Linked DNA regions of Oryzias latipes. The protein of the gene in region 4 binds, or shares a complex with, the protein of the main gene of each other region. Links are inferred from orthologs where the notes say so. Each region holds a gene or a part of one and is shown on either strand. Other genes may lie near its edges.

The links.
Region 1: gemin4 (region 4) and strap share a complex: the UniProt entries of both Homo sapiens proteins name them as parts of the SMN-Sm complex. The link is inferred for Oryzias latipes from reciprocal best matches to the Homo sapiens genes GEMIN4 and STRAP.
Region 2: gemin4 (region 4) and gemin2 share a complex: the UniProt entries of both Homo sapiens proteins name them as parts of the SMN-Sm complex. The link is inferred for Oryzias latipes from reciprocal best matches to the Homo sapiens genes GEMIN4 and GEMIN2.
Region 3: gemin4 (region 4) and gemin5 share a complex: the UniProt entries of both Homo sapiens proteins name them as parts of the SMN-Sm complex. The link is inferred for Oryzias latipes from reciprocal best matches to the Homo sapiens genes GEMIN4 and GEMIN5.

The regions. Positions count from the first base shown.
Region 1 is NC_019881.2:4,533,706-4,541,654, forward strand, and holds the start of strap (serine-threonine kinase receptor-associated protein), read left to right. Parts: upstream 1-3,684; 5' UTR 3,685-3,962; coding exon 3,963-4,074; intron 4,075-4,498; coding exon 4,499-4,634; intron 4,635-5,356; coding exon 5,357-5,438; intron 5,439-6,161; coding exon 6,162-6,234; intron 6,235-6,311; coding exon 6,312-6,411; intron 6,412-7,849; coding exon 7,850-7,949. Other genes in the region: protein bicaudal D homolog 1, read right to left, coding at 868-1,086. UniProt on the Homo sapiens protein: The SMN complex catalyzes the assembly of small nuclear ribonucleoproteins (snRNPs), the building blocks of the spliceosome, and thereby plays an important role in the splicing of cellular pre-mRNAs.
Region 2 is NC_019880.2:19,642,195-19,650,301, reverse strand, and holds the start of gemin2 (gem-associated protein 2), read left to right. Parts: upstream 1-4,067; 5' UTR 4,068-4,199; coding exon 4,200-4,321; intron 4,322-5,225; exon of another isoform or gene 5,226-5,240; coding exon 5,241-5,325; intron 5,326-5,454; coding exon 5,455-5,544; intron 5,545-5,628; coding exon 5,629-5,688; intron 5,689-5,769; coding exon 5,770-5,886; intron 5,887-6,982; coding exon 6,983-7,027; intron 7,028-7,943; coding exon 7,944-8,012; intron 8,013-8,107. Other genes in the region: transport and Golgi organization protein 1 homolog, read right to left, coding at 1-2,237, 2,375-2,461, 3,249-3,382, 3,525-3,645. UniProt on the Homo sapiens protein: The SMN complex catalyzes the assembly of small nuclear ribonucleoproteins (snRNPs), the building blocks of the spliceosome, and thereby plays an important role in the splicing of cellular pre-mRNAs.
Region 3 is NC_019872.2:29,390,506-29,397,521, reverse strand, and holds part of gemin5 (gem-associated protein 5), read left to right. Parts: intron 1-2,821; coding exon 2,822-2,895; intron 2,896-3,095; coding exon 3,096-3,277; intron 3,278-3,690; coding exon 3,691-3,830; intron 3,831-3,897; coding exon 3,898-4,069; intron 4,070-4,139; coding exon 4,140-4,322; intron 4,323-4,392; coding exon 4,393-4,446; intron 4,447-4,516; coding exon 4,517-4,645; intron 4,646-4,765; coding exon 4,766-4,861; intron 4,862-4,929; coding exon 4,930-5,067; intron 5,068-5,278; coding exon 5,279-5,426; intron 5,427-5,500; coding exon 5,501-5,620; intron 5,621-5,694; coding exon 5,695-5,905; intron 5,906-5,982; coding exon 5,983-6,246; intron 6,247-6,322; coding exon 6,323-6,485; intron 6,486-6,748; coding exon 6,749-7,016. UniProt on the Homo sapiens protein: The SMN complex catalyzes the assembly of small nuclear ribonucleoproteins (snRNPs), the building blocks of the spliceosome, and thereby plays an important role in the splicing of cellular pre-mRNAs.
Region 4 is NC_019871.2:19,885,419-19,893,445, forward strand, and holds the start of gemin4 (gem-associated protein 4), read left to right. Parts: upstream 1-2,960; 5' UTR 2,961-3,031; coding exon 3,032-3,119; exon of another isoform or gene 3,120-3,171; coding exon of another isoform or gene 3,172-3,181; intron 3,182-3,893; coding exon 3,894-5,873; intron 5,874-6,114; coding exon 6,115-6,271; intron 6,272-6,341; coding exon 6,342-6,612; intron 6,613-7,790; coding exon 7,791-8,027. Other genes in the region: tapasin-related protein, read right to left, coding at 1,595-1,924, 2,007-2,282, 2,353-2,529, 2,636-2,681. UniProt on the Homo sapiens protein: The SMN complex catalyzes the assembly of small nuclear ribonucleoproteins (snRNPs), the building blocks of the spliceosome, and thereby plays an important role in the splicing of cellular pre-mRNAs.

The DNA.
Region 1 (7,949 bases), on a different chromosome or scaffold from region 4:
TCCGGCCCTTCCATCAGGAGACGGGCCGGAAAATGACAGACGGAAAAATCGACAACTGAGAACTGAAGCAGCAACTTAGCCTGCAGTCGCAATAAAAACAGAACAAAGCAGCGGGAGTCCCTTCATTCTTAGAAAAAGCGACAGCCCGTGACCCCTCCTGAACCTGGCAGGAGCACAGCTCATCTTCATCATCTGTCCTGGTTCTGTCATGGAGCTTTGTGGGTACAACCATCCCAAAGAGGAGGGTGGGGTGGGGTGGGGTGAGGCAGAGTCAGATGGGAGCTGAACATCCCTGCTGTGTTCTGCAGGCTTGAAGAGCCTAAAGAACCGACGGAAAGGAGAACTGGTGAGAAGATGGTGCTGAGCCCGGGGGGGGTAAGCAACAAGCTGGGTGGTCTAAGAGAGAAACCTGCAGGTGGACGTAAACACGGAGACTCGTGTCTGTGACGAAGATGAGGGCGAGGACGTGTGCAAGCAGGAAGAAGACTTTAGATGAGCCGTCCACGTAAACATGAGAGTGAAGGAGGTGGCAGTGATGAACACTGTAATCATCCATCACAAAGGTGATGAAGAGGGCCCCTTCTTCATCTGTCTGGTCTGGGTATCACAACAGACACCCACATTGGAGGAGAGAGCAGGGCTCAGCTGAGTGAGGATGAGGAGGCTGACTGATGAAGACTGGAGGAAGCAGAAGGTTCAGGAGCTGAAGAATTTCACACCAGATCTAATGTAGAGGACTAATGTAGAGGAAAAAAGGTATTGTTTGTTTCTTATGAAAGCCTCTACGCGTGCGCACCTGCAAATACTGTTAGACCAAAGCAGCGCGATGAGAGCGCGTGCGTTCCGGATGATGAAGTTGAGACTCACCTCCTGCAGCAGCTCCAGCTCCTGCCTTAGCGCCTCCTGCTCGGCCTCCAGCTCCGAGCACTGCTGCTTCAGGCTCTGGTTCTCCTCCAGAACCGCCAAGCCGCACTCCGCCGCGCGGACCTTCTCCCGGCTGACCTCCGCCAGCTCCCGGGCGAGGCGCTCCACCTCCGCGCGGTACGGCTCCGCCGCGTCCGCGCATCCCGCTCCGCCGGCGGCCATGGCGCCTGCCCAGTCCCCCTCCCCGCAGCCTCACCCCTACCCCACCGAGCCCCGGCGGAGGAGCACCACCTGCGGCCGACAGCAGCAGCCCCGCGGAGGATGAGATGATCTCAGCGAAAAACCATGAAGCGATGCTGCGCGCGCCGTCACCGCAGAGGCCGCGCGCCTCTGCCGCGGGTGCACTCTGTCATGGTCCGGCCCCCCCACAGCTTTTCTGCTTACTCACCGGCACCGGGAAGCCATCTGTGCCCACTGCCGCGGAGCAAGGCAGTGGTGGCTCGCGGGCTACTGCCAGAGAAAATAGTGCGCCCCCTGCAGGTCCCACTGCCGTCTCCCAACCCCTCCATCCCTCATCTTCTGGTCTGCGAGGATTCCATGGATAAAATAAATAATATGAAATCCATTTTTAATCCGAAATTACACCCACAACCCTCAAAACAAACACTTTAACTGTTGCTAAATAAACGAAACTGCATTTCTGCTCTGCAAAGTCACAAGCAGCCAGCACATGAATCATAGATTACTGTGTTGATCCTATCCATCACTCCCAAAGAGAACCTCAGCATCTTCATCTCTGCTACCTCCAGCTCTGACTCCTGACTTTTCCTCAGTGCTGCTGACTCTGGGCCCCAAAACATGGCGTTACTCTCTAAACTGTTGACCCTAGATATACTTAAATCCTCCACCTTCTATATCTCTTCTCCCTGTAACCTCACTCATCCACTTGGGTCCCTCTCATTCACACACACCTTGCTGCTGCTAACCTTAATTCCCCTCCTTTCCAGGGCAAACCTCCACCTCTTGAGCATCTCCTCCACCTGTTTTCTGCTCGCACTAAAAATCACAATATCATCTGCAAACATCTTAATCCAATGGGGATTCCTGTATAACCTCATCTGTCAGTCTGTCCATCACCATCACAAACACGTTTTAGGGCTCATTCCCAATACATGTTATTCTAATATTTCTATTCATTTTCATTTTTCTTCTATTAGTTTTTCTAGATTGTTAAGTCACTTTTCTTGAAAGCTGCTCTCCTTTTCTCTAAACTGAACACAAAACCAAATTTTCAAGCCACAGTCACAAAACGTCAAACTCTTTTTGCAAAACCAAAATTTTCACCTCAAAACAGTTCAATCTCTGCTCAAAATTAAACTTTGCTGTGAAATCGTGCCCCGAGTCAGTCAAAATTAAAAGCAACATTGAACTATCACTAAACACTACATGGAAAAATAGAAAACACAATGCTCAGGACATGAAGCTGGAGAAATAAAAGTTTATTGTTGACTGTAGGCTCAATGCATGTTGCAGAAAACTTGTACAAAAATAGAAAAAAAAATCTTGAGCATTTACACATAGCACTTGTAAAAACAAACGAGCGTTTGTGACTTGTGTAGTTACAAAAAGAATACACGGTATTCTAGGCCTACAAACTGTTATACCAACCCTCCACTACAATATTACAATATTACAGTGCATTAGTTCAGTGGTACAGTAATTTCTGGCAACATTTACTTATAATGCCAATAAAAGGCATTTTACCTGTTCTTTACCCTAAATCTTCGGATCATGGTGGACACAGTGAATCTACTGGCGTTTGGTTGTACCTGTTGTCCAGCCTCCCTCATGCTAATCCCATGGACAAGCACTTTGTCGATCCCAGTAGCTCTGATTTCATGAGATGTTACTGTTCTTTGTCTTTGCTGACCACCTCAACCACCATGAACTCTTCCTCTCAGATTTCTGTCCATTGTAGGGCCTCACAAACCAGTGCTCTCTGAACTGGCTTACTTTATATGTTCTCCCACAAGTGTGATCAGTTTTGAGTTGTTGTGTTCAAGTGGGGACACCTGTGCTTTCTTTGTGTTTGACTTTTGTCACCTGTGCACACCTTTATGCAGCACGGGTGTATCACAATGAAAATGTGTTGCCAAGTCGTGTCTAAACAGGTGAGAAGTACTTATGGTTCGGCCAAAGGAACGTTCGATGCAATCAGTGGGTTCAGGCAACTGGGCATTTGGTTCAGACAATAATAGGGTTTAGTGTTTTAGCAATTGAGAACAACTGTAAGCGAAACTTTTCCTGTAAACAATATCAATAAATTACAGTATAGGTACTGGTTTGCAGCAGTAAAACTATATTCATTAATGCAGATATATAAAATCCCTACATTATATAACAGACTCTTAAACGTTTGAGTCTCTGGGTGCTTAATAATTCCATATAATTATTTGACATTTAAAACAACTGAATTAGTTTTTTTTTATTATTATTATTATTTAGTTAGTTAGTTAGTTAGTTAGTTAGTTAGTTAGTTAGTTAGTTAGTTAGTTAGTTAGTTAGTTAGTTAGTTAGTTAGTTAGTTAGTTAGTTAGTTAGTTAGTTAGTTAGTTAGTTTAATGTACGTAATGTCCTGCTAATAAAAAAGAGCTTCCCTGTTAGAAAATTGAGTAATTCTTAGAAATGAACCATCTATTGTAACATTTTCTTTATAAAATTCAATAAAAAAAACAAAAAACAACGTTTTTCTCCGTTACTTTCATAAAAAAAAAACGAAAACACCTGACAGACGGATTTTATTGTGAAATTCCCCGGAAGTGTGTCGTGTCTCGCGGTTTTGTGTCGTCATCGTAACTGCAGTTACGCACGTTGCTAGTTAGTTGCAATGTTGTAGCTATTAGCGCGAGGCCGTTTCTTCTCTGGGGGGGCCAAACCCTGAAGGACACCGACCCCCGCTCCTCACACCCGCACCCGCTCGACTGCTCCCCGTTACCCGACAGCCGCTCCTCCGCTCCCGGTTCGTTAGCGGGCCCCGTTTGTTCGCCGCCTCCTTCCGCGAGCGCGACGGTTCCGGCGGCGGCTGAAGACCACCAACCATGGCCATGAGGCAGACCCCCCTCACCTGTTCGGGTCACACCCGACCCGTGGTGGACCTGGCTTTCAGCGGAATCACGCCTTTCGGATACTTCCTCATCAGCGCCTGCAAGGGTGAGCTCCAGCAGGCCGTTAGCCGGCGCGGGGTTCCGGTGGCTCGGCCGTTAGCGAGCCCCTCTGTCTGTGCAGGCAGAACCCGATCTGGTCGTGTGTCGGTTCTGACTTAAAACGATCCTAGAAAACTCGTAGAACAGACCTGGCGGATCCGGTTCTGATGAATGGTCTGATTTCTGAGCAGAACTCTGTCTGTAGGGAAGTTGTGGGTCTTACTGGTAACTGTAATCCATGAAAGTAACGAGAGTATCAAGTAAGGCTCCTCAGGGATTCCTCATCAAACTCTAGGAAAAGCTAGTAATTAATGATTATGTAACAAAACTCAGGACTTGGTTCAAGCCCAACAGTTACTTTGGCAAAAAAAAAGTAACTGAGTAAATGTAACTACCCGCCTCTGGTTCTGATCCAATCCCTTCTGTTAAAGATGGCAAGCCCATGTTGCGCCAAGGAGACACAGGAGACTGGATCGGAACGTTTCTTGGTCACAAAGGTGCTGTTTGGGGGGCCACTCTGAACATGGACGCCACCAAAGCCGCCACCGCCGCCGCCGACTTCACAGCGTGAGTAGATTTGGGAAACTGCCTGTTTTCCCAAGGAAAAACACGCTTCTTTCCTACTGGGAAAGCAGCCTTTTCCTCCAGGAAAGTTGTTTTAATAGTAGGAAACAAACTACTTTCCTCCAGGAAATGCACTGTTCTACCTGCTGGAAATGAAGAATTTCCCCCAGAAAATGAGCCTTTTTTTCCAGGAAACTTTTTATTTCACTGGCTTCTTACCTAGGAAAAAAGCTTTTGTTTTCCCCCCCTCCCCTGGAATCAGGGTTTTATCTAGGAAAGAAGCGGTTTCTTTTTCTCCAAGATAACTAGTTTCTGTGGATTTTTTTTTAAGAAGTTGGCTTATTTTTTTTCTGGGAGTCTAAACGTCTTTCCAGTAGAAAAGAAACTCCTGACAGTAGAGTTGCTTTTTATTTTCAGGCACCCTGACTTTGTTCTACCCTGAAAACTAGCTTGATTTTCCAGTGTGCCTTGGAGGCACGTTAGCCCTGGAAGTTGGGTCATCTAGACCCACTAGACAGTGCTCTGAACCTTTTTTCTTCAATGATTTGTGATCTTCACTGGTGTCCATGGATTACATGAAATCTTTCCACCTTTGTCATCGTAGGGAGAACACGTCGATGTAAGGGTGGGGTCATGTTGCTGCTTTGTAATCCGTTGCCCCCCAACACTGACCGTCCCTCTATGTTCCCCTGTCACACGCTTCTGACCGTGTCTGTTTTCTGCAGGAAGGTGTGGGACTCGGTCAGCGGAGACGAGGTCCTGTCTCTGGCGCACAAACACATCGTCAAGTCTGTGAACTTCACTCAGGTCAGTGTGGCGCCAGGCGTCTCTGCTTTCTTTGTCCGTGTCTGCGTATGCGGGTTTTGGTAGAACCGATGTGGGTTAAAGACCCCGTCCTGTTAAAATGGTGGTAATTTTTCTCACGACGGAGAACATATAGACAGAAAATTAAGCTCAAAATAACATTTCTGATGTTTAATTTTTCAAATCAGGAGCAGACACAAAAATGTCATATATGTGACGTAGGAAATAGGCTGGGGAGTCTAAAGCTTCCTGCTCTGCTCCATTCTGATCATCCACCTGCAGACAAATAGATCCATGAACGTCTTTGTGTTCCTGGTCTGAGCTGGAATCTGGATCAGGACTGGACGGCTTACTCCACACCACAACCAAGAGGCTCATTTCTGATGAAGTCCTGCCGCCCTGCAGAAACTATGTCCTGGAAAATGACCAAAAACCGCATCATCATCATCATTAGAACACTTTGAAAATAAATCACAAGATGATTGGAGTGGCACCAAACTGTAATAGTGGGCCAAACGTAACAACTTTAGCTCATCAAACATCACAGCAAACTGAACCGTAAAGAGGAAGTGCTTAACGCTGGGACACCATCTATACAATGATTGTAGTCACAAAGTGCTCCGTGTTCCTGCTGCTTTGATTTTACAAACATGAGACAGATAAAGCTCCTGGTGAACATTCATCAAGCCAGATGGAGGACAGTAAATCTGTGCTTGTGTCTGTTAGGACAGCAACCACCTTCTGACGGCGGGAAACGACAAGCTGCTGCGCATTTTCGACCTCAGCAACACCGACGCAGGTGAGATGCAGTTTGAAGGTACTTCTGCTAAACACGGCATCATGTGACCCCCCCTCCCCCCTCCCTGTGTTCATCAGCCCCACAGGAGATCGCAGGTCACGGCGCAGCCATCAAGAAGGCTCTGTGGTGCAACGACGACAAGCAAATCCTCTCTGCAGCCGACGACAAAACCATCCGGTCAGTTCTTCTCTGAACGTGGGTCCTGCCGGCGCTGCCGGCGCCCTGGACGGTCCCTCCCGGATGCTAGGAGAGTCCGAATTCCTTCCGTTCTCAGTATATAGTGCTTTTGACATTTTGTAGTTATGTCTGAATCTACAATTCCAAAATCCAGTGCACTAGAAATTTCCCAGAAGTCTCTGCGAAAAAGCAGTGTGCATCGATTCTCACTAGATTGGTGAATATAGACCATCAATGTTTTTATCTTCAGACGACATTAATAATCGTCGCAAAACGCTCAGATTGATTAAATTTTCACTTTGTGAAATTGATGACGTCTTATTTGCCGTTAAAAAGAAAAAAAGTAGTGAGCGTGGTTTCAAAATTGCTTCTTAAATCCAGGGACCTACATAGTGCTGCACTATAGAGTTGATTAGTATTTGGGGGTCAGAGTGGGAATTTGGACACAGCCTTGGTGGAAATGTGGAAGTGGTGCAAATCTCATGGTTTTTTCCTTCCACACGGAGCACATTTTACATGTCAAACACGTGTATCCTGTCTTTGTTTAACAAGCGTCATAGTTGCGTGCCGTCTGTCCAAAAGCGTGTTAGCCTGAAGCCCCGTCGTGTGTGGGCGGAGCTTCCCTCAAAAGTTTGACTCGACCTCATCACGGAGGACACAGACGATGAGAGGTCAGGTTTATTTATTCTGAAGAACTGTAGAAAAGCGTCGCTGAGCAGCAATCAGTCAGCGCCCCGGACGGCGGGAGGAGAACGCCGCCGCTGCGTCTGGAACCAGTGGGAGGGGCTTTATAGCAGCGGGAGACACAGTGAAAGAACTTAAAGTAGTGAATTCTGACATCCCCTAATTCTCTTCATTTTAAAAATATCATTTTCTTTGGTTTTCTAGCTGCAATGTGTCGTTATGCACTTCATGTGGTCCTCCTCAGTATTTTTTTATAAATAGGAATATCTTGAGTTCAAAGATGTCATTGTTTCTTATATATACAGACCAGACCCATTCATGTGAATAACAAGGTGTGTCCAAACTTTTGGTCTGTACTTTATATAAATCGGCCTCAATGGGCAAATGATTTAAAGTGATTTTATGTGTTCATACCGTATTTTCACGACCTTATAGGGCGCCATATCAGTTATGGGGGCTCTTTCTGTGTTTAACACATACAAAAGGCGCTCCAGATTTGGGCGCAGGCCCTTTCCATTGACCTTAGCGATCACTCCGGCTGGAAACGTCTCTTTAGGGAGAGTCTTCCTCCTCGAAATCCCCAAAGGTGGCAGTTTCTGTCCAAGCACAACAGTAAAAGCCCACCATTCGTGCCGCGTTGTGCGTATAAATCGCTCCCATCTTTGCCCCCTCTGGCTTCTGCCCATGCCCTAGATTGTGAAACAGATTTGTCACCTATGTGCGTTTGTGTAATCGCGTGTGTGTCTGTGTTCAGGCTTTGGGACAGGACCTCCATGGAGGAGGTGAAGACCCTCACGTTCAACACATCTGTGAGCAGCATGGAGTACATGGCTGATGGAGAGATCCTGGTGATC
Region 2 (8,107 bases), on a different chromosome or scaffold from region 4:
TCCTCCTCCATTGTAGCTTCCATTTTTTTCCCTCTCACCTCCAACTCCATGTTGTCTTCCTTTTTCTTCCCCTCTGTGTCTGTTTGTTGTTTATCCTTCATTTCATCCATTTCTTCGTTGTCACCATTTAGTTCCTGCTGCTTCTCCTCCTTTTTTGAATGGTTTCCTTTCTCGTTTGTTTCTATCCCTCCCCTTAACATCTCAATTTTCTTTGTTTCTGTTTCCGGTCTTGGGGTTGATTTTAAGTCACTCTGACTCAAAACATCTTCCCCAAAGCCTAAAGTCTCTTTTTCCACTTGCTCATGGGGATGTGTCATTTCTTCATTGTTAATAATATTAACAGCTGGTTCCTTGTATATTGTTGATGTTCTATCACTGGAAGACACTTTCCCATCATTTTCCTTTGAGGGATATTCAGACAGACTTTCATCATTTTGAGCGGAAATGGATGATCCAGATTCCTTACGACTACTCCATACTGATTTTGCTTCTTCTTCAATTTGAGACTTGTCCTGATGGCTCCCTGTGTCTGAGGTATCGCTATATATAGCTGTTAAATTTAGTTTATCATCAGGTGTAAAACTGACATCATCTTGGATGAGTTCAGTTGCTGCCTCTGTATCACCACTGACTCGGTTTTCCTCTATTGCTGTCTCTTTTTGAGTGAAATCTTTACCTTCGACCTTTTTATCGTCACTACTTTTGCTTTCTATATCTGTGGATTCTGCTGGGCTGTATTCTTTAGTTGTGACTTTGACAAATTCCTTTTTCTCATTCTGTTGTGCATATTTACCTTCAGATCTTCCTAAGGAGTTTGACAATAATTCGTTAAAACTCTCTTCCTTCCCTGATTGCCTGCAAGATGATTTTAAGAAAAATGGATTATTATCTGTAGCAGTAACTTCTTCATCTGCAAGATCATTGGTAGTATCTTGCTCCCAATTTTTCACCGATTTAAAGATCTCCTTGCCCTTGTTGACCATTTCTTCAGATCTACTTTCTTTCACTTGGATTTCTTCTGAGTCATTTTTGTCTTTATTCTCTCTTAGAGAAATCCTGCTGTTCAAAGATGACATTTCTGCATTCATCTGGAACTTTTCATTAAGCTCATTAACCTGGAGTTTATCTTCATTCCTTTGAAGATTGATCTCATTTCTGTCTAATGCATCTTCATTATCTACTTTGTAATTGTCAGTATCAGTGCTGTCAACTTTCACATCCTCTGGAGATTGGGTATATGGATCCTTTTGAACACCTTCCTCTTGAGGTGATTTGCTGGTCTCAGTCTTTGCTACATCCATCTGTGGAGCCGCCAGTACTTTTGTCTCTACATGCGATTCCAGTGGTTCTTCTAAGACATTACCCTGCTCTTTCTCTCTTTTTATATCTTGATCTACTTTCTCATTTTCCTTTCCAAAGCCCAACATGTCCCCAATTCCTGTATTTGGCCAAAAACGATATTCTTGTTTTTCCTTTTCCTTATTTTCTTCACCTGCATTCTGATTAGTCAATCCATATCCCATCCCACTTGAGAGCTTGCTTCCCAACCAGCCTAGCGTTCCCATCTCAGTTTTCTCTTCTTCATGTAGCTGACTTCCTTCCAGGTCCAAAGACATCCGTCTGCCTCTGTATTTCTCAGCTGGTTCAACCCCTTCATCTGTTTCTTCTCCATCGTGCTTATTTTTTTCATCGTCTGATCTTTTCTTGCCCCCAAAACTGAACCAACCAGTCACAGTCGAGGCTATGGTATCAGTTGTTTGGTCTGGGATTGTCACACTTTCATCTGCATTGTCTTGTTCACTGTTTCTCTCAAAACCCAGCCATCCTTTAACAGAGGAGGTGAGTGAAATTTCATCCTTGTTTTCTGTCTTCTCATCTTCACCCTCTCCTTTTGGCAGTTCGTCCAGTTGCTCCACACCAAACCATCCTGTCACTGAGGAACTCAGCCAGGAAGAGGAGGCAGACCCACCTTGTTTGCTCGAGGCTGCATGAATCTCATGCACTTCTTCAGGTGGATCTGCTTCATCCCCAAATGTCTTTGGGACGTCTATTTGCTGTGCTGGAACTGATGATTCGGCTGAGAGATCATCAAAGGACAGGGGGCCTTTAGGATTTGTTTCATGCAAATATTTAGTGATAACATTGATATTGGACTCCTGTTTTGGGGTTTCCTGATTATTGTCATCATCCGAATCAATGGGGTAGCCAAACTCATCGATACAAAAGAAATCTGATTTCTGCAGGAAAAATGAAAACAACATCTTACATATCAGAACTTGGTACAAATGTACAAAGAATATATTTATTACTTCAAGTGTAGTTTAAAAAAATAAATCTGCTTTAAGTATTTTAAGATGATTATAATTTAAATTACCTGTGTTTCCACTGCTGTCTCCATGGTTGCAAAAACTTGCTCCTCTTGTACTGCATCCTTTGGAAAGTAGCCGAACTGTTTGTCAATCTGAATTTTTAAAAAACACTTTAGTGAATTTCCCTCAACAAACACAAACAACCTTTACAAGTGAATATAAAAGAAAAAAATAAAGTGATAAAAAAAGGAGACAGTTATTTTGATGTTGAATATTCCATTGGGTTAAGATTGGAATTATTGCTTTTATTTTTATCTTTTAAAGTTTTAAGACTTTTTTTTATCCATTAATTCTACTTTAATGGCAAAAGACACTGAAAAACCACAATGAGGCTGTGTCATTTTTTTCTTTGGAGATTAAAACAAATGTTGGTCCTTTTGATTTTTAGATCCAAGAATATAAAAGTAAGAAGTTCTGGGAATGTTTATATTTTAAAAAATTGCTTAGTTCTGGTATCTTACTTTTCTGAGATATGTGAAACTTAAATGCTGAAAAGCAACAAGCTTTTGATAAGATGCTCTGAAACTAAAGAAATCAAAATCTAATTCATATTTAACAGGTCAAAAACACAAAAATTAGATTAGATTCAATATTATTGTCATTGCGTGAGTACAAGAACAGGCATCAAAATATTAAATTCTAACAGAATTTTCAAATTAGTTTAAACATGACTATATTTAAACATTCAAAATAAAACTCTTCCATCCAACGGTTAAATGAAAGTCAAAGATGTCAGCATCCCAAATAAACACTAAGGCTTTTTGTATAATAAGGAATATTGTTTTGTTCAACCAAAGACCTTGGATAAGGGACAATTTACATTAAGGTTTCATGATAAGGAGGCGACAGAGATATAAAAGAGATGAAAATTGGACATACACTGCCTGCCCACAGATCCTCCCTCTTTCCTGTAAGTTTGTGGTAGACAAAAATGATATCTCCACGTCTGAAGCTTAGAAAACGGCAGTCGTTACTCTTGTGGTCCCTTATGGCCTGAACCCTGCTCATTAGGCCTACACACACAAACACAAGTGATCAGTTGCATTAAAATGATTAAAATGTCTTTAATAAACCAACTAAGCTAAATTCATGCATAAAATATAACAGTATTTTTTAGGAACTTCAAACTATTTTGACACAAGTGTTTGGACTTACTTTCACACTCAGAATCTCCACAGATCTTGTAGTCGGATAACATTCCTGGATTTATAAGAGGCAAAATCACAAACGTTAGACCCACAATCCAACAGAATTTATGTAGCAGGGAAACATCCATTTTGGGTGCTTTAGCTGGAGTGTATCATAGAAAAAGTCCCATATTTGAGAAGAAATCCCTTTGACCTGCTGTTCAGGAAAGTGGACATTGACTCTGTGCTGTTTCTCTCATGAAACCTCACTAGTGGTAAACGAAAGAATGGAGATAAGATATAACGCTAGCATGAAGCTAATAATTAACAACGTTGCTCGTAACCTGATTGCAGAACAAAACAATTTAGCTCTAATGTCAAAAGTTTATTTTTTTCATTCACCAACTTGATTTGAAATTTTTTTATTTATTAAACAGCTTCTGCGGTTGAATTGAGGTATAATAAACGTGTTTAAATGCGCAACATAAAATGCTCGTGGACTTCGTTCCTTGTCGCTGCCAAAGTTTCAGGCGCTGTCACGTCACTATGGAAACAAATCTCGCCTCGCGCACAAAATTGGCGTCATCAAATCTAGTTTGAAAAACAAAATGGCGCTTGTTGGACAACAGTAAATACTAGCATCTGCCTAGTCTTCGTTTTAATGTCCTGATTTCGCTTAAGAGTTTTACATTATTAGCGGAAAATGAAGTCGGATGTTGAGGAGTTAATGCCAAGGCTGCTTCCGGTGGAGTTAGGACAAGACACCGAGCACGTAGACCTCAGCGGTCCACCGAGGAACCCCCAGGAGTACTTGCGACAGGTCCAGTAAGTTCTCCCTTCTGTTCTCATTAAAGTGGAAAGCCAGTGTTTTCATAATTAAAATGCTTTAGAATAGCAAAGCATTGGTATAAAAAAAATTGTATAAAACCAAAGTTCCTATTTACAGTCTATGTATCGAACCGTGGAATTAGCTCTCCACTTAGTATATTTAAGTGTTTCTGTTGTTTCTTTTCAACAAACTTTATTATCAATACTTATTGTATTAACTGAATAGAATAATATAGGTAAAAGAAAACACTACACAGGTTGCACAACACGTGCCACCTGTACTTTAATAATCAGTCCAGTCCAATTATTTTTGAACATAGAATATAAGTAAATAAAATATAATATGCCGTTTCTTTAAAATATCAAATGTTCTTGTCGCCTTCAATATGGACTGCTTATATGTATGAATGAGGAATGTCCCAAAAATAATGAACAGTTCAGTAACAAAACTTACCTTTTTGGGCAAACCATGTAATTAAAAATATAATATGACATTAAAAAAAGAATTCAGAGAGTTATATTAAATTTTGTGGTTATAAATTCACGCAGATCCGACCAAAATTGCTTGGTGTACATAGAAAGAATAAATAAATGAAAATTGTCTCCTTACTTGATTGGCAAAAAACAAAATTGTTCTGTTTATTTTAAATCTTCTTAGTGTATCTTTAACTGGGTAGAAAGCAAAATAAAACCTATTTTATTTTAATATTAATACAGTATTTATGAACAGAAGTATTAGTCTTTTCCCAATTTAAATCACCCATGGTTGAATACCAAAAAGATTTAGCAGCAAGAAATTCAACTTCTTCTAATAAAAAGATTATTGATTTCAACATCTGTGAATGACTCGTTTTAGAAATTGAAGAGAAGATATTAGCTGTGTTTCCCAGTGACCCCTCACCTCCTTGTGATGTAGGTTGGAAGCGTCCATGTGTCCAGAGGTGGTGGTTGCTCAAATTGACCCTAAGAAACTAAAGAAGAAGCAAACAGTCCATGTATCTGTAAGTGAAAATCTATTTATTTGGTCAAATCTTTATTTGTTAAGGCTTTGTCTGTGTGGTGAGGTCATGTATAGTTGACTCTGCAGCCAAGAGACATGATAATCTGGAAAACCATATTTTCTGTCTCAGGTAGCTGGGTGCCACGCTCCCCCAGTAGGTTTCTCCCCCAGCCTTCACTGGCAACAACAACAAGTCAGTAATTTTTCTGACGTGAGACGGGTAAGAAAAACTAAAAGAACAGTGTGTTGCTTTTATATCTCACTTATATTTCTGCTTATAATGTCTAATTTTTTAATTTACTAGAGCATCACCAAGAATAGAAAACATTGGAGCAGCCAGACTCTGGATAATAATGTACGCATGGTAAGATGTCAAATCCCGCTGCAATGTTAGCAAAGGTCAAAGGTGCTCATTTGCATAATATTTAAGTGTGATCTTTTACAGCCAAACCTTACAGATGAGGAGGGCTGGAAGAAGTTTTGTTTAGGAGAGAGGATCTACTTGGGCGCATCAGCCTGCCCCACAGATGCAAAACCAGAGGCAGAACTGGACTATAGCAAGGTTGTCAACTAAACTGTTGTTAGAATTTTTAAACGCCAAAGTTTTGAAACAAAAAGTTTCAAATAAGACTTTTTTTCTTTTTTGTTAACTTGTTCTGTCCAACAGCTGAGCAAACAGATCAGAGCTGAAGGCCTCTTGTGTTTGAGAGATTTTACTGTTACAATAGGGGGTCATGAATCTTCTGACACACAAGGGGTATATTTATTTAAACTCTTCTGTATTTGAGGGTAAACTTTATTTATATTGATTATGTTTGTATACCTGTTTTGAAAAGGGAAAAGGGGGGGGGGGTTAAAGGAAGTTGGAGCATGATCAAAGAAGTAGAGTGGGGGTAGATTCAGAATCATAAAGCAAAAAGTTGCTGGAGGTTTATCATTATTACTGTCAGATTAAGGCATTAGTCAAAAGGAGCTAACAGGTATGTTACAAACATACCTGTGTGAAATCTTCACATTCCATATGTCAACACATACACGATACAACTACAGCTCACACAAAAATACTTATGCATACATAAAGAGAGAGGAGCCAAGAAAGCACACCAACTTGACCGAGGCAGTTTGACCAGCCAGGGCTCTCCATGATTGTCTCATTGCTGACCCCAACCCTCTGTAGTCCCATCCTGATGGAGGACCCCCTTCCCAGAGGACAGAGCCAACCAGTCTACCAGCCCCCCCCCCCCCCCCCCCCCCCCCCCCCCCCCCCAGATCCTGCAGCCATGGCAGGTGTCACCCAGAGCAACTGCAAACCCCAAGAGGGTTGCCCCACCCCGTCCCAGGACCAGAAGAGTGCAGAGGTGCAGGCCCAGGGTCTCCTGCACCTGGGCCTGCACCTCCTCCTCCTGTCCTAACCCCCCCTGAAAAGACCACTCCCCAAGCCAAGCCAGACCCCCTCAACCGCACCGACCAAACTCTCCCAAGACCATGCAGTACCCCCACCTGCCCACTTCCAGGCGCCCAACCAGGTCCCCCTAACTAACGAAGCCTCCACTGCCCCCCTCCAGCCCCAGAAATAAGGCACTTTAATAGGCATGTTACATTGAGGGACAACGTGAAAACTAGATTTTACTGATGTGTTTGTTTTCATTTTTTTTCAGGTTGGGTTTCCTCCATTCTTAACCATCGTATGCAGACTAAACCAGGTAATTGTTTTTTAACTGAACAGATGATAAAAAAGTAATTTCAATCTTCTTTTGAGTAAATAAGCTTTATAAAAATGTAGAACATAAAGGAGCAGGGATTTGGCAAAATCTCAATTTGTGGATGTGAAATGTGAAGTAAAGACCCACTCAGATGAAAATTGGGTTTTTAACATGTTCTTGTGGTATTTTCTGATGATGGCCTTGTATGTCACATAGCCACTACTTACATTTGCATTTTCTTCATATGAAATTTTGGTCTTTATGTGAATTCAGTTTTGAGCTATTTACATATTTTGGTCCGTTAAGAAATTCCGCAGTACATGCGTGTTCTACGTAGTTTATGCACAATTATTATGTAAATCTGCATATGCAAATTTGTGTCTTTCAACGACCGTTCCACATATATCTAACAGACTTTTTACACACGTGCCACCGATGTATAACTTTTCAATCACGTATACGGCGCACATATCACTTTAAAATTACATAATTGACACACAAATCACGAATGAATTGGATATAAACAGCGCAATAATCACGCACAGTTTGTTGTCTATAGATTTTATGCATTTTTTGCGTGGTTCATTCGTACTTCTTCCGTGGTTTTTGGTAATGCATCTGTGAAAATTTTGTGTAAAGACCACAACTTTTTTTCATTTTTTCCACGTATATTCATATATGACCATTTTTCATCCATGCAATATGGGCAAACTTTAAGTGTGTACACATGGATGACAGGAATTGTGGGTGGGGTTTCTCCATGCTAACAATTCCCACATACAACTCACCCTCCTCCCTATCTATAAGCATGTTTGACATTCTGTCCATAAGGGTGAATGTCTCTCTCCTTTGTGAATTTGTGGAGATTCAGTTGCTTAAAGAGAAACAGTGATGACGGATGTTCTTTTGTGTTCAGTCGACGGCTCTGATGGTGCTGGACGTTCTTATTAGCTGGTTTGAAGAGCATGAACTAGTCCCTCAGTTGGTAAGTTATTTAGATTTCCTGGTGATTTATTTTACAGCTTATTTAAAGTGTGAATTGTTCTTAGTCCACAAACTGCTACAAAATGATTTGAAAAT
Region 3 (7,016 bases), on a different chromosome or scaffold from region 4:
AATGGCGGCGAGTTTCTGCCGTTTCAGGCTGAGACTGGCGGCGAGTTTCTGCCGTTTCAGGCTGAGACTGGCGGCGAGTTTCTGCCGTTTCAGGCTGAGACTGGCGGCGAGTTTCTGCCGTTTCAGGCTGAGACTGGCGGCAAGTTTCTGCCGTTACAGGCTGAGAATGGCGGCGAGTTTCTGCCGTTTCAGGCTGAGACTGGCGGCGAGTTTCTGCCGTTTCAGGCTGAGACTGGCGGCGAGTTTCTGCCGTTTCAGGCTGAGAATGGCGGCGAGTTTCTGCCGTTTCAGGCTGAGACTGGCGGCGAGTTTCTGCCGTTACAGGCTGAGAATGGCGGCGAGTTTCTGCCGTTTCAGGCTGAGACTGGCGGCGAGTTTCTGCTGTTTTAGGCTGAGACTGGCGGCGAGTTTCTGCCGTTTCAGGCTGAGACTGGCGGCGAGTTTCTGCCGTTTCAGGCTGAGAATGGCGGCGAGTTTCAGGCTGAGACTGGCGGCGAGTTTCTGCCGTTTCAGGCTGAGAATGGCGGCGAGTTTCTGCCGTTTCAGGCTGAGAATGGCGGCGAGTTTCTGCCGTTTCAGGCTGAGACTGGCGGCGAGTTTCTGCCGTTTCAGGCTGAGACTGGCGGCGAGTTTCTGCCGTTTCAGGCTGAGAATGGCGGCGAGTTTCAGGCTGAGACTGGCGGCGAGTTTCTGCCGTTTCAGGCTGAGACTGGCGGCGAGTTTCTGCCGTTTCAGGCTGAGACTGGCGGCGAGTTTCTGCCGTTTCAGGCTGAGAATGGCGGCGAGTTTCTGCCGTTTCAGGCTGAGAATGGCGGCGAGTTTCTGCCGTTTCAGGCTGAGACTGGCGGCGAGTTTCTGCCGTTTCAGGCTGAGACTGGCGGCGAGTTTCTGCCGTTTCAGGCTGAGACTGGCGGCGAGTTTCTGCCGTTTCAGGCTGAGACTGGCGGCGAGTTTCTGCCGTTACAGGCTGAGAATGGCGGCGAGTTTCTGCCGTTTCAGGCTGAGAATGGCGGCGAGTTTCTGCCGTTTCAGGCTGAGACTGGCGGCGAGTTTCTGCCGTTTCAGGCTGAGAATGGCGGCGAGTTTCTGCCGTTTCAGGCTGAGACTGGCGGCGAGTTTCTGCCGTTTCAGGCTGAGACTGGCGGCGAGTTTCTGCCGTTACAGGCTGAGAATGGCGGCGAGTTTCTGCCGTTTCAGGCTGAGAATGGCGGCGAGTTTCAGGCTGAGACTGGCGGCGAGTTTCTGCCGTTTCAGGCTGAGAATGGCAGCGAGTTTCTGCCGTTTCAGGCTGAGACTGGCGGCGAGTTTCTGCCGTTTCAGGCTGAGACTGGCGGCGAGTTTCTGCCGTTTCAGGCTGAGACTGGCGGCAAGTTTCTGCCGTTACAGGCTGAGAATGGCGGCGAGTTTCTGCCGTTTCAGGCTGAGAATGGCGGCGAGTTTCAGGCTGAGACTGGCGGCGAGTTTCTGCCGTTTCAGGCTGAGAATGGCGGCGAGTTTCTGCCGTTTCAGGCTGAGACTGGCGGCGAGTTTCTGCCGTTTCAGGCTGAGACTGGCGGCGAGTTTCTGCCGTTTCAGGCTGAGAATGGCGGCGAGTTTCTGCCGTTTCAGGCTGAGACTGGCGGCGAGTTTCTGCCGTTTCAGGCTGAGACTGGCGGCGAGTTTCTGCCGTTTCAGGCTGAGACTGGCGGCGAGTTTCTGCCGTTTCAGGCTGAGACTGGCGGCGAGTTTCTGCCGTTTCAGGCTGAGACTGGCGGCGAGTTTCTGCCGTTTCAGGCTGAGACTGGCGGCGAGTTTCTGCCGTTTCAGGCTGAGACTGGCGGCGAGTTTCTGCCGTTTCAGGCTGAGACTGGCGGCGAGTTTCTGCCGTTTCAGGCTGAGACTGGCGGCGAGTTTCTGCCGTTTCAGGCTGAGACTGGCGGCGAGTTTCTGCCGTTTCAGGCTGAGACTGGCGGCGAGTTTCTGCCGTTACAGGCTGAGAATGGCGGCGAGTTTCTGCCGTTTCAGGCTGAGACTGGCGGCGAGTTTCTGCCGTTTCAGGCTGAGACTGGCGGCGAGTTTCTGCCGTTTCAGGCTGAGAATGGCGGCGAGTTTCTGCCGTTTCAGGCTGAGACTGGCGGCGAGTTTCTGCCGTTTCAGGCTGAGACTGGCGGCGAGTTTCTGCTGTTTTAGGCTGAGACTGGCGGCGAGTTTCTGCCGTTTCAGGCTGAGACTGGCGGCGAGTTTCTGCCGTTTCAGGCTGAGAATGGCGGCGAGTTTCAGGCTGAGACTGGCGGCGAGTTTCTGCCGTTTCAGGCTGAGACTGGCGGCGAGTTTCTGCCGTTTCAGGCTGAGAATGGCGGCGAGTTTCTGCCGTTTCAGGCTGAGAATGGCGGCGAGTTTCTGCCGTTTCAGGCTGAGACTGGCGGCGAGTTTCTGCCGTTTCAGGCTGAGACTGGCGGCGAGTTTCTGCCGTTTCAGGCTGAGAATGGCGGCGAGTTTCAGGCTGAGACTGGCGGCGAGTTTCTGCCGTTTCAGGCTGAGACTGGCGGCGAGTTTCTGCCGTTTCAGGCTGAGACTGGCGGCGAGTTTCTGCCGTTTCAGGCTGAGAATGGCGGCGAGTTTCAGGCTGAGACTGGCGGCGAGTTTCTGCCGTTTCAGGCTGAGACTGGCGGCGAGTTTCTGCCGTTTCAGGCTGAGAATGGCGGCGAGTTTCTGCCGTTTCAGGCTGAGAATGCCGGCGAGTTTCTGCCGTTTCAGGCTGAGAATGGCGGCGAGTTTCTGCCGTTTGTCCTGAAAGCAGCTGAGCTGCACCGACCCTGAAACTGATCTTTATCTCCAACAGCACAAGCTGTCTCCACACACCGACCTCAGCTGGAAGCCGGATGGGAAAGTCGTTGCCATCGGTAACGAGGATGGGTGAGTTGTTTTCACACGTGAACCCTTAGAAACGCCAACCAGACTTTTTGATCTAATGGTTAAAACATCTGAAGCAGAGATGAGGAGCGGTGGAGCTTTGAGGTTTTCTGTCAGGTTGCATCACAAAGTAAACATGTCAAAAGTTGCTTGTTTTCCTGGAAACTGGCCTCTTTCACCGGTCTTTTCATCTCTTTCATCAGGTGCATTGATGTTTTCCAAGCCCCCAACCTGAAGCAACTGTGCAGCGTCCAGCAGCACCACAAGATCATCAACTCGCTGCGGTGGCATCACCAGCACGGCTCCGCCTCAGAGCTGCACACGCTCCTGGCCTCGGGCTCCAGCAACGCCATCGTCTACGTGCACGACCTCCGCTCCGTGATAGGTGGGGACCTTACGTTCACAACAATAGTCACATGACAACACAAGCGTCCAATAAACGGCTCCAACCTGCTCTGAATCCTCCCAGTTACCCCACTGTCAGAGAGGATATGACCGTTTCTGGGATCCCTTCAGAATTCTCATCTTCTTCACCTTCATCCCATTTTGTTGTTTGGTTTCCTTTGGATCAGTTTATCAAACATCAACTGTCGTTCAGGACGAATACTTGCAGTTTGGATGTAGATTTAATATTTCCAGTTTTGAAACTTAGGTCTACAACTTTACACGAAGACGGATGGATGGATGGATAAATGAATCGTCAGATGGATGAATAGGTGGATAGCTGGATGGTTGGATGGATAGATGGCAGTAATTCCTTATGGAACCCACATCTTTACGAGTCTTCCTGGTCTTCAGAGAACCCTCCAGAGACTCCTGTGGTCCTGACGGAGCCGTACCGGCGGTTGTGCGGTCACACAGCCAAGATCACCGGGATGGCGTGGAGTCCACATCACAGCGCTCGGCTGGTCACGGCCTCGTATGACGGCACGGCACAGGTCTGCTGCTCCACACAGGTGAAGCCAAAATGCTGTTCTGAGGTCTGATGGGCGGGTCTCGTTTCAGGTGTGGGACGTCCTGGAGGAGGCGCCCATCTCTAACTACCGGGGTCACGTGGGGTATCTGCTGAGCGTGGACTGGTCCCCCGTTGATCCAGACGTGATCTGGACCGGAGGAAAAGACTTCACCGTGCAGGAGTGGAAGGTCTCCCAACAGGAGTTCACAAAGCCACCTAAAGGTGACGATGAGGCTCTGAGGGGGGATCCAGCCAGGTCCTCCTGCTCACGACTGACATGTTCTCCTCCCAGGGAGGAAGATGAGCACGCTGCAGGAGAAGAAGAAGTCCGGCTCCAAGCAGAAGAAGAAGAGCAAGAGCGCGCCGGGGCTCGGAGGAGATGTGGTGCCAAAGATGAACGGCGACGGAGAGAAGGATCTGTCTGAGGAGGAGGAGGAGGAGGTCGGCTCCACGAGCAGCATGCATCCTCCAGGAGGTGAATGCGTCTGAGGCCTGAAGGATTCATGTCAAATCGCATTTTTCTAATCATTTTTTCCTTTTTTTAGCATCTTTGGAGAAGAAATCCTCATCTGTCTCCAGAAGTAAAGAGAAGCCACCAGGTTTGTGTCTGATTCTTGTTCAAACGGCTTTTTCTTTGGGTTCTGAACATGTCCCTTGCTGGCTCCGCAGCAGATTTGAGCCTCCTGAAGAAGAAGAAGCCTCGCTCCATGCTGCCCCTCAGCACGTCCATGGACCACCGGCCCAGGGAGGAGCTGCTGCAGGACTGCGTCACTCTGGCCGCCGTCAGACACGCCTCAGGTGAGAGAAAACTGGCAGATGGTCTCCAAATGCAAAATAAAAATGTCAGAAAACTTAAACGAGCTTAAGTCTTCAGTTCGACCCTTTTTTCACAAAGCAGGGCTGATTGTGTGTTTTCAGCGCCACCTGCTGGCTGCAGCCCGGGACATGGCGACCATGTCCACCTGGGCCTGTTTGCAGACCGGCGGGCTCTGCGCCTCATGCTGGAGGCAGAAGGTTTGTTGGTTCTCCCTTCCTGGCTTTGGGCGTTTCAGCGTAACGTTCAACTTCCTGTCGACCCTCAGAGGAAGGTCACGTGCAGGCGGGGCACTTCGACTCGGTGGTGTACCTGCGGCTGTGGAGCGGAGACCTGCAGGGGGCGCTGCAGCTGGCAACGGAGAAAGGAGAGCTGAACGACCACCTGCTGTCCGTCGCTGCGATGGGTAAAGAGCGGGAAGATGCCGGTTGAAGTGTCTGTGCAGACGTCAGGAAGCCAGTTTGATGCAAAAAAAGAGAAGGTTTTGGCTGCTGCTGGTCTAAGAGCACTAAAAAACATTTCTCACAGGAAATTCTCTAGATTTTTATTGCATCGATAAAAGCTGACGAGGGGACAGGAAGTGACCTCATGATGTGTTGGTTCTTCACCTCCTCCAGCTGGTTTTGAGGCCTGGAGCCGCGCGGTGGAGGCCTACGTCAGGCAGCTGTGTCTGCAGGAGCAGTACCTGAAGGCGGCGTCCCACCTGCTGTCCATCAACAGAGTCTACGAGGCCGTGGACCTGCTGCGATCACACAAGCTCTTCAGGTCTGAGCCGCTCGGCCGTTTGACTGAAGGAGTTTGTGGAGCAGCTCCATCAACCAGAGCTTGTCGTTCGTCAGGGAGGCCATCGCTCTGGCGAAAGCGCGGCTGGCGCCGGACGAGCCGGTCCTGAAGGAGCTGTACGGCGGCTGGGCTGCGGTGTTGGAGAAGGACGGCCATCTGTCCGCAGCAGCTAAATGGTCTGAAGGGAAGAGTCCGGCCTCACAGACCAGCGCTCTTCCTCCGCCTGATCCGTCTGACCTGCTTCTTTCAGTCACCTCGCCGCCGGCTCCGGTTTCGACGCCGCCAAAGTCATCGCCAAGAAGAATGACGTCGCGTCTTTGAGGACGGCAGCCGGCGTGGCCAGGATCTCAGGGGAGGGGGCTCTGGCTCAGACGCTGGCGCTGCGATGCGCCAAAGATCTGGCGGCTGCTCAGGATTGGCTGACGGCGCAGGAGGTCCTGAGCGGTCAGGACGACCTTCTGGTCAGCAGCTCACACTCTCCTGATCCCCCCTGGAAAGGAACAGGAAGCCTCTCACCGAGATGTTTCACCTTCTGCAGGTCCACAGGCTGCATCTCTGCGTGGCGGAGCTGCTGACTGTGGAGCTGCGTGACGCCGGGGTCATCCCTGCAGCCTCCTGCAGCTCCACCCACACATGGGCGGAGCCAAGAAAACATCCCGCCAGCATCCAGGACCGAGTCAGAGACGTGTGGGAGGAGGAGTTTGGCATTTCTGCAAACGCACCAGAAGACGGCAGCATGGAGGCTCTCCTGCAGGAGCTGAGGTCCGTGGAGAGTCCGGCCCCCACCGCCCCCCTGAAACAGGTACTGACCTCCAAACGGCCACGGCGGCACAACGTCATCAGTCCAACGCAGGAAACTGTCTGTGCTTTCTCCTCAGGTCCTGCTGCAGGCCTCGCTCCATCTGACCCGCGGCGTGCTGAGCTGGATCCTGAACGACGACGCGCAGCTGCTGAAGGAGCTGTGGTGGGCGGCGGCCTGGATCAGAGACGCCGGACTCTTCTGCGCCTCCGCAGAGCTGTGCAGGCGGCTGTTCCCCGAAGGTCCAACACGCCTCCCTCTGAAGCCGTCACACGTGTTCAGACTCCGCTTCAGACTTCTGACCCCATAACGTCTCAAAACAACAAATCGCATTTTCTCTGAAGCCGTTTCTGTACGAGATCAAAAAAGTAGAACACAAACAGAAGAAACACGTGAAAAACTGATGAAGCGTTTCACAGAACCGTTGAGACGAGCTCAGTTTGGATTTTATTTCTGTGTTTCTAAAAATGGATTTAAAACAACATTCCTGTTTTCTGTCGTCTAGGTGATGTTGGTCTGTTCTCCAGGAAACGTCCAAAGACCCTGAAGGGGACCGAGGCTGAGGCGAGCGCTGCGCTCAGCAGCCTGCAGGCCTTGGTCCGCTATCACCGCCTGTACGAGTGCTGGTGGAGGAGCGCCGCGGAGCAGGTGGAGGTCCAAAAGGGAGCAGCGGGCGAAGGCCAGGAGGACTTTGAAGTGCTGCTGTCCGAGCCGCACGCCGCCTGTCAGAGCCTGCAGAGGTCGGTGCAGGAGATCCGGGAGCGGCTGGCGGC
Region 4 (8,027 bases):
GTTCGGGGTCCTTTCGACTGAGGATAACATCACACTACGGTATCCCCACTTGGACAAACTACATAGCGCGGAGATCTGCTCGGGCTCTACATATTTTCATTTCACATTTCCTTTTGTAACCCAAAGTTATTTTCCCTCATAAGTTGTGTCTGACATTATTCTTTGCAGTGTTTATGGAGAGATTTTGCCACAACCCACTTTGTAAAAAGATCTGTGGCTGTTAGAATGAACCTGCTGTTCCACGCTAGAGAACCGTATCTCTGATTGGAGCAACTGGAGTCTCGTAGCTTCGTGTTCGCAGGCAGGGAATATGATTTGTTATAGTGTTCGGTCCGGAGAAGGCTTCGGACCGCAGTCCGTTCGGCTGCAAATGCACTTAATAAGAATCTTAACAATAATAAAAGAACATTTAGAAGATAATCTCACTCCATGTCAGAGCTCTGTTTGTTTACAATGGACCGCATAATATCTTCTTCTATTGTAGTTTTAATTATCCGATACGTCAACGGACAGCCAATCCCATAATGTGACGTCAGCACTAGTCGAAGGACCCCGAACGGTTGTTGCAGGCCGAATGCTTATGGTACCTACACCGGCAGACGGAGAGCCGCTGTGGTAGGGGGAAGAAGTCAGCTCGGGCCTTCGATATTCGATATTTTTCTTATTTTCATCGAGACAATAATATATAGATCCCCTAGTTTGATTCTTGTTTTTATTTTTCTGCATGATATGAGTAAAACTCGCGATATTAGCGATCAATATTGCGATGACGCTATAACTTGAGAAACATGAAAGAAAATAGCAAAACGACCAAAAACATAATTTCCATTACACTGCAACAGTTTAATGGAAGAAAGAGTCAACATAATTTAAATTATACTCCAAATGACCCTCGTCTACATAAGGAGGCAAATATCTAACATGAAAGAGCTCCATCCGATTGGTCAAATGCATAAATAGATTTATTTGATTCGCTAAATAGTTCAAACTGCCATAAGATTGTTTTTGCAAATTTAAGGTAACCGCTTATTGCTGTCTTTTGCGATAAGCATATTGCACAGCTTGATATTGCGATAACGCTAAATTTGCGATTTATTGCACAGGCCCAGAACAAATTAATGATTTCGTGGGAACACGTTTCTTTTGTTTTTACCCATCTCAGGTCACACGTATACAACTCCTAATTTTAAATAAGGGTTAATTTAATTTGAATTGTTGAAAGTTTAAGAGACTTTCTTTCAAAATAAAAGCTTTTCTTTTTCCAGCAGCAACAAAACACTCAGTACAGATAAGAACCCTCAGCAAATGATGCAATAACAGCAACTCCAGACCTTTTCTGAAAAGGTCACATTTGGAAGCATTTGTGTTTTTTTTTTTTTACTTCCCACATAAAAAACAGTAAAACAAAACAAAACAAAACAAAAGTCAGATGTGACACAAATCCCAGAAATAAACTCAAACACTGTTTTCTTCTAGCCTTAAGAGGCTGAAGAAGAGGAACAGATGTTTTCAGCTGGATCACCAACACTGTAGCAGTGCGACCGCTGATGGTAAAAGAAGAGGACAGATTACAGGTTTTAGATCATCTCCTCACCCTCGACGTGCAGGTTGAGCTCCATGTTGGCGAAAAGCGGGTTCACAGTCAAAGAACAAATGTAGCTTCCTTCGCTGCTCATCTTGGTGAAGGGGAGAGTGTAGGAGGCATCTCCCCCAGCCAGGGCCTTCTTCCCAACTCCAGAGCCATGAATCTCCCCGGAGCGGCTGTTGTAGCGGAAGAGCATCCTTCTCTCTCCGCGGGACTGCCAGTGCCACTCCACGGTGACGTTTGGGCCTCGGTGGTCGATGCTGAACTGACAGTGGAGTTTGGGCTGCGAGCGTAGTCTGACTTTCACAGATGGAGTCTCTGTTTTCAGCAACATGGCGACTATGGACACAAATAGGATGAACCCTCTTACAGGCCTTCGTTCTGACATGCAGAAGCAGCGTCAGATGAAGGGGACACCTACCTGTGGTGGTAAGAACCTCTCGGTCGGCGATGGGCGGCCAGCTGCGGTAGTCCTGCTGTCCTGGAGGAGGTTGGTCAGACGGATGTCTGAGGAAAGCAGTGACGCTGAACTTGTCCTTTCTGTGTCTGAGGATGCAGGTGTACCAGCGGTTGTACCCCTCTGCCCCCAGGGCGGGCCAGCGGACATGGATGCCCTCTGTGCTGTACCGTCGGACCTCACACTCCAACTCCTCTACCTCCACCCCTTCAATGGACCGCTGCAGGTCCAGTTTTGAAACTAAAGCAACATAAAAAGTCATGAATGTAATTCTTTCCTGCCCCGATTCGTGTCTTGGACAGAAGCTCACCAGTGATCAGGAAGGTGATGGCGTGGGGATTGACAGGAGCGTCTCCTTTTAGACCAAACTGAACCATAGCCTCTCTGGGAATGAGCTGTGTCTCAATGTGTCCTTCACTGTTGTTGGACACATGTTCGTCAGTGAACTGACATGACAGCCATGGTATCTGCTGAACGCTCCTCACAACTGAGAACACAGAAAAACTAACATTAAACACACCCTTCATTTAAATTTAGTTCCTTTCATGAACTAACTGATAGAACAGCTGCAAACATACTTTAAAATAACTTACCTCCAATCACATAAAAGTAAATAACAACTTTCTGAAATACTCCCATTTTGATTATTCAATTGAATTTCTTGGTTCACCTTGTTTCTACCAGCAGCCAGGATCTAAAAAGTACTTTCATTTTCACTTCTGCAGAAAAAAAACGATTTGCCTTTAGCTCGCGTCACATGACCTACAAGATTAAAACCATAACAAAAAAAAAACATTTTTATATATATTCATAAACACAATAACAAATGAAATGACGTTTAAATCTGATGTAAAATATTTAAATCTCGCTCCGAAGAAAAACGTTAAAACTGCAGTACCGAATTTATCCGGGTGCGTCGCTGTGAACAAACATCCGGTATATGCGTCGCATGGCGGAAGCGTGTTTGCGGCTGCGCAGTTCTGCTGTGGATGTTTTTAGTTGGATTATGTTGTTTCAGAAATCTAACTTTAAACTTCGGAAACCGTGAACGTAACGGCGCGTTTAGAGAGTTTCCAGGTAAACGGATTACACTGGTATTTACCTGCACGCAACAATTATCACGGTGATAATGGACAAAGGTAAAATAGCTTTTATTTTTACTCTCTCTGTAGACCAGTTAAGTCACTGACTTTAAGTTAAAATAAATTCTTACAAAAGAAAATATTATTTAATAAAGAAAAGCAATGTTTTTTAATTTAAATTGTTTTTCCAACACACGACGCATTCATACCGATTTACACACGCGGTGAACCGCTTTGAATTGTGGGAAACTGAGTTTGGTGTGGTAAAATGAATGACATATGGATCCCCTGAAGGGATTTGGCAAAAGGTGAATAACAACAAGATCTACACTGATCCTGACATAAAGACGAACGCACACAAACACTCACACATTAAACACAATAAAAACTATATGGCTCTGTCCATGAAAACTGAGTTATTTATTGGAGATCATATCTGAAAGTTGAGAAGAAGCTTTGGTGTTTTTATCTGTGGATACGGTGGCCCTGAAGTTCAAATCACATCCACAAATTACTGTTTTAAAACATCACACAGCAGTCCTGGAATGCAAAAACAAAATTGTTTTTGCAATTCTTGTTTCTTACTGCATATTTGAATGAAAACTTGACACCCCACCCCACCCCCCGCTTTAATTTTGTTTAGATTTATCAAATGTAACGTTTTCTTGTTATTTTATTGCTTTTGTTGTTGTTATCTTTAAGATGTCTTTACATTGATATGATGATGTGATTGGCACTTCAGGGCTCTGATTATGTCATGTGATTTCAGGCTCTGCGGTTCTGCAGGGGGCTTTCCTGCTGGCAGACAAACTGTGTCGCCCCTCATTTCTATCCTGCGTGAACAAATCCGACTGGATCGCGGCGGGACGCCCGATCCTACAGGCTCTGCAGGAAGTCTGTGAACTGGAGGAAGCTGACGGTCATCACAGCTCGACCTGGACGAAGAAGGTGGTCTGTGCTGTGTGGCTGAAGCTCTTGAGCGCTGAGGAGGATGTTGAGAGAGCGTGGAGGGAGAACCCCTTTTTTTCCTTCCAGCAGAGCCTCCCTGAAGTTAACCATGTTGTCCTGTTGGAGTTGGTGAAGAACGCTGCTGCTTCACATGTTTACGCAGGTTTTCTCCTTCATCTTCCTGAAGATTTGATCTGCTTGGAGCTGAAGAGGCTGGTAGAGCATGTGAAGAGCGAGCCTACAAGCGAAGAGGATGTTCATTTCTTTCTAGAGATGTGGCGGGAGCTGTGGAAAGGCCAAGAGCAAGCCAAGCTCAGAAACGACGAGAGCATGGAGATGATGTTTGCCAAGCAGGTTGCTCGTCTCACCTCCATGTCTTCTAGTTTGTCTCCTCAGGCTGCCAAGAGGTTAAAGCTGGAGACACAAGACTCAGCAGAGGCTGATGTTTTCCACATTCTCCTCAATGCCCTCAAAGACATGGCAGATCACGTCTCCTCATTAGACCTGTGCTTCCAGTCTCTCTCCATGTCCCTTGATGCTCTTTTTACATCATTTCTGATAGACCGAGAAGTTGTTCTATCAGCTCAGGAGAAGATGGACATCCTGTGTAAAGCCATCAGTACTAAAGGAAAGAATGAAAAACTTCAACCTGAACTTGTTGAAGAAGCTCAGAGACATTTACGGGCTTCGATTTCCCCGTCTCAGTTCAAAGTCAGGAGGATGGATCTGGGTGAAGCTCTGAGGGTCATAGCAGAACTTAGTCAGTCTTGGAAAGACCGAGGACTCTTGGACGTCCAGGACGGCTCTCGCTCCTCCTACTCTGCTTTCCAGCTGGAGCAAAGTGTCCAGAGAGTCTCCACTGCTCTGGAAGAAGCTCCCACAGCAGCGACAGAGAAGAACCTGCTCGTGGCTGTGCTGAAGTCTCTGGTTCTTCCTGTCACAGAGAGCAGCCCTGAGGTGCATGCTCAGGTGCTCTCCACCATCATCACTCACCGCCTGGAAGACCACGAGAGCTTCGCTGCCTTGTTTGCCAGAGAGCCGCCCTGGACGCACTGTGATGAAGGCTGGATGGATTGCCTGGAGAGGAGCCAAGCTTCCTTCCGTCAGCATGACGCCGTGATCGGCCTCTCCTCTACTCTAATGAACAAACTACGCATGGAGAATGCAGACGTCAGCCAGTGCAGAAAGCTGATGAAAATCATAGCAGATATCTTCTCCAGCCTTTCCTTAGAAGACATGAACAAAGCCTTGGTGTCCATGTTAAGATTGTCTAGGAAGGGCTTCTTCGAATTCCCCGTTCCTCCTGAGGTGGCTGGAGGGTTTGAGCAGGAGCTCAACATGGCCTTCAACTGCATCATCCAAGCAGGAAGTGGAGCGTCCTCAGCTGTTCCTCAAGGGAACCTGACCACGGCCGTCTCACTCGTAGCCAGAGTGGCTTTTCAGAACCCAGAAGGCGCCTTACGGTCCTGCTGCCACTCAGCTGTTTTCAATAAAGGAGCATTTTCGATGATGGCAAAGATCCTGCAGCATCTGCCTGGACTCAGCGGTCAGAGAGGAGGAGATGGAGATGGAAGGAGGAGCGGAGAGGAGAACACGGCTAAAGACGGGACCTCTAGTCTGCTCTGCAGGTGCCTACACCAGACGGTCAAGGACAAGTCCCTGTCAGCCAACGAGAAGGAACAGTTTGCCAAATTCCTCGGTCTGCTGATGGGTCCAAACGTGGACGAGGGAAAGGAACAAAGCTTCCTGTCACCTCAGGAGGTTATAAACACCTTCGTCCTCCCTAACCTTTCATCTGTAGGTGAGGATCCTTTACAATGTTCCTGACATTTGAAGAAGACTCTTAAGAATCTTTTATTCTGAAATTTGGTGTCAGAATCATCAGTTTGAACTGTTAGAAGTGGTGCAACGTTCATGAGCTCCTCATCTGTTATAGCCTCTAATGACTAAGTCGTTTTATTTTTGTACACTTTGATTTATCAGAATTCAACATTTTACATAATACGTCACATGTTCTTCATCCGTTCTCCACATCTGCTCAGGTTCCTCCTCTGTGGATGCAGAGTTGAGTCTGCAGCTTCTTCACACAGCTTTGTCCTTGGATGTGCAGCCAGGAGCCTCCAGCTCTCACTGGCTGATGGACTGTTCTCCTTTTCCCCTCCTTTTTGTTCTCGCTCAGATCCACGACCAAAACCTCAGGTGTTTGTTGGGATAAGATTTCGTTGAGTCTTCCTTGGAGTTCTCCTGTAATTCGTCTGCTTTCTGCCAGGTTTTGGGAGGAACCGCCAAAAGGTGGCGTCCGCCTCTGCTCTGTGGACACCAAGGAGCTTCTGGTGTCTGTGATGACCACAGTGGGGCAAGTGGTGGGTGCAGAAGTGGCAGCCGCCCCCAGTAGCTGGTCCAGAGCCCTCTTCTGGCTCTACAACAAACTGGAGGAGTTGGACTGGACGGTTCGGTTCCACCTGAAGCCGTTGTGGGGGCAGCACTTTAAAAACGAGGTGCCCTCATCTCTGCTGGATGTGTGCGATCTGCCTGAGCAGGTGAGAACTCCTGCAGCCCAAGTCCCAGTCCATTGAACGGCAAAGGCCTAAAGTGGGACACGGACACAGAACCAAAAACCCACCGACACAAGTTGGTGTCTCGATTAAAAAGGGTTATCCCTTCATCAAGTGAATCCTTGCTAAAAAAGACTGTTTTGCTGTTTAAATAAAAAAAAACATAATCAAGACTCTTTTATAAACAAAGCTGTAGACACGTACATCCATAGGGGGTTTGATCCATCGCCGCTGCATCTTCAAACTCATTTGTACAACATGCCTGCTTCTCAACTCCTTCACCCTTACTGACCCTTACGTGTTGTCGGTGTTCACTACGACCCGTCGCCTGCAGCATGCCCGTAGAAAAATGTGCATGAACTTTTTCTCTTTCTGGATTCACAGAGCGGTCTGCCACCTGGATATTTTGTGTGGGCCACCTGTGTGCCCCGTACAGGTTTGAGCATTTTCACCTGCAGACAGCCCGTGCCCACGAATTAGGGCAGTTGGGACTCGAGATATATTCAGACCGCCCTCAACAGTGCACGTTCAAATGACCACTTCCAAAAAAAAGTCAATGTAAACGCATGGAAAGGCACACTTCTGGCTTCAGTGTTCAAAACTCTCGCGTTTAAACTTGTACGACCATTTTCAGGCTCTGTGTACAAAGTGCAAGGTTATTGAACGCCGTTGAAAATGAAACCGTGTCAAACTTTGATCAATCAGGGACTTGGATTTGGTAGTGAAGAATGGATGGCGTCCCTTTAAGCCATGGACGTAGCAACTGTTTGAAAGTTGATCATGGAGGGGAATGAATAATTGTTGTTTGTGTCGGCTGGAATACTATGACACCAAGTCTTTCATAGATATATCGGATTGGAGCTGTGAAAGAAAAAGCCCTGAGCGATATTTGCACTGCTTCAACATTTTACACCAAGCCTCTATTGTAGGTGGCGGACATGCGCTAGTAAACAGTAGAAAAAGTGTGTCCACTGCTTAAGGCCTTAAGTGAACCATGAAAAAACATGTTTTGTCTTTGGAGCTGGATGTTTGTCCGAAGGCGTCAAAACTATGGGACTTTATGTCAGGTCACAGCTGAAAACAGTGGGGGGTGATCTCCTAAATGTGTTTGTGTGATGTTATTATTTGATCAAAATCTCAGCTTTTCTGTCTTTGCTCCACAGGAGTGGTGCGGTTTGGACCTGCCTCCGTACGGACAGGGCACAGGTCTTCTGGCGTGGCTGGAGTGCTGCTCTCTGTCAGACTCCTTGCAGTCCACCATGCTGTCATGTCTGTCGCTGGACCAGCACCAGCCTCACCACGTGAACATGTTCAGCAAAGGCCTGCTGGTGGGTCTGACCCAGATCCTCCCCTGGTGCTCCGTCTCACAGTGGAGCAGGGTTCTGAAGGTCCTGAAGGAA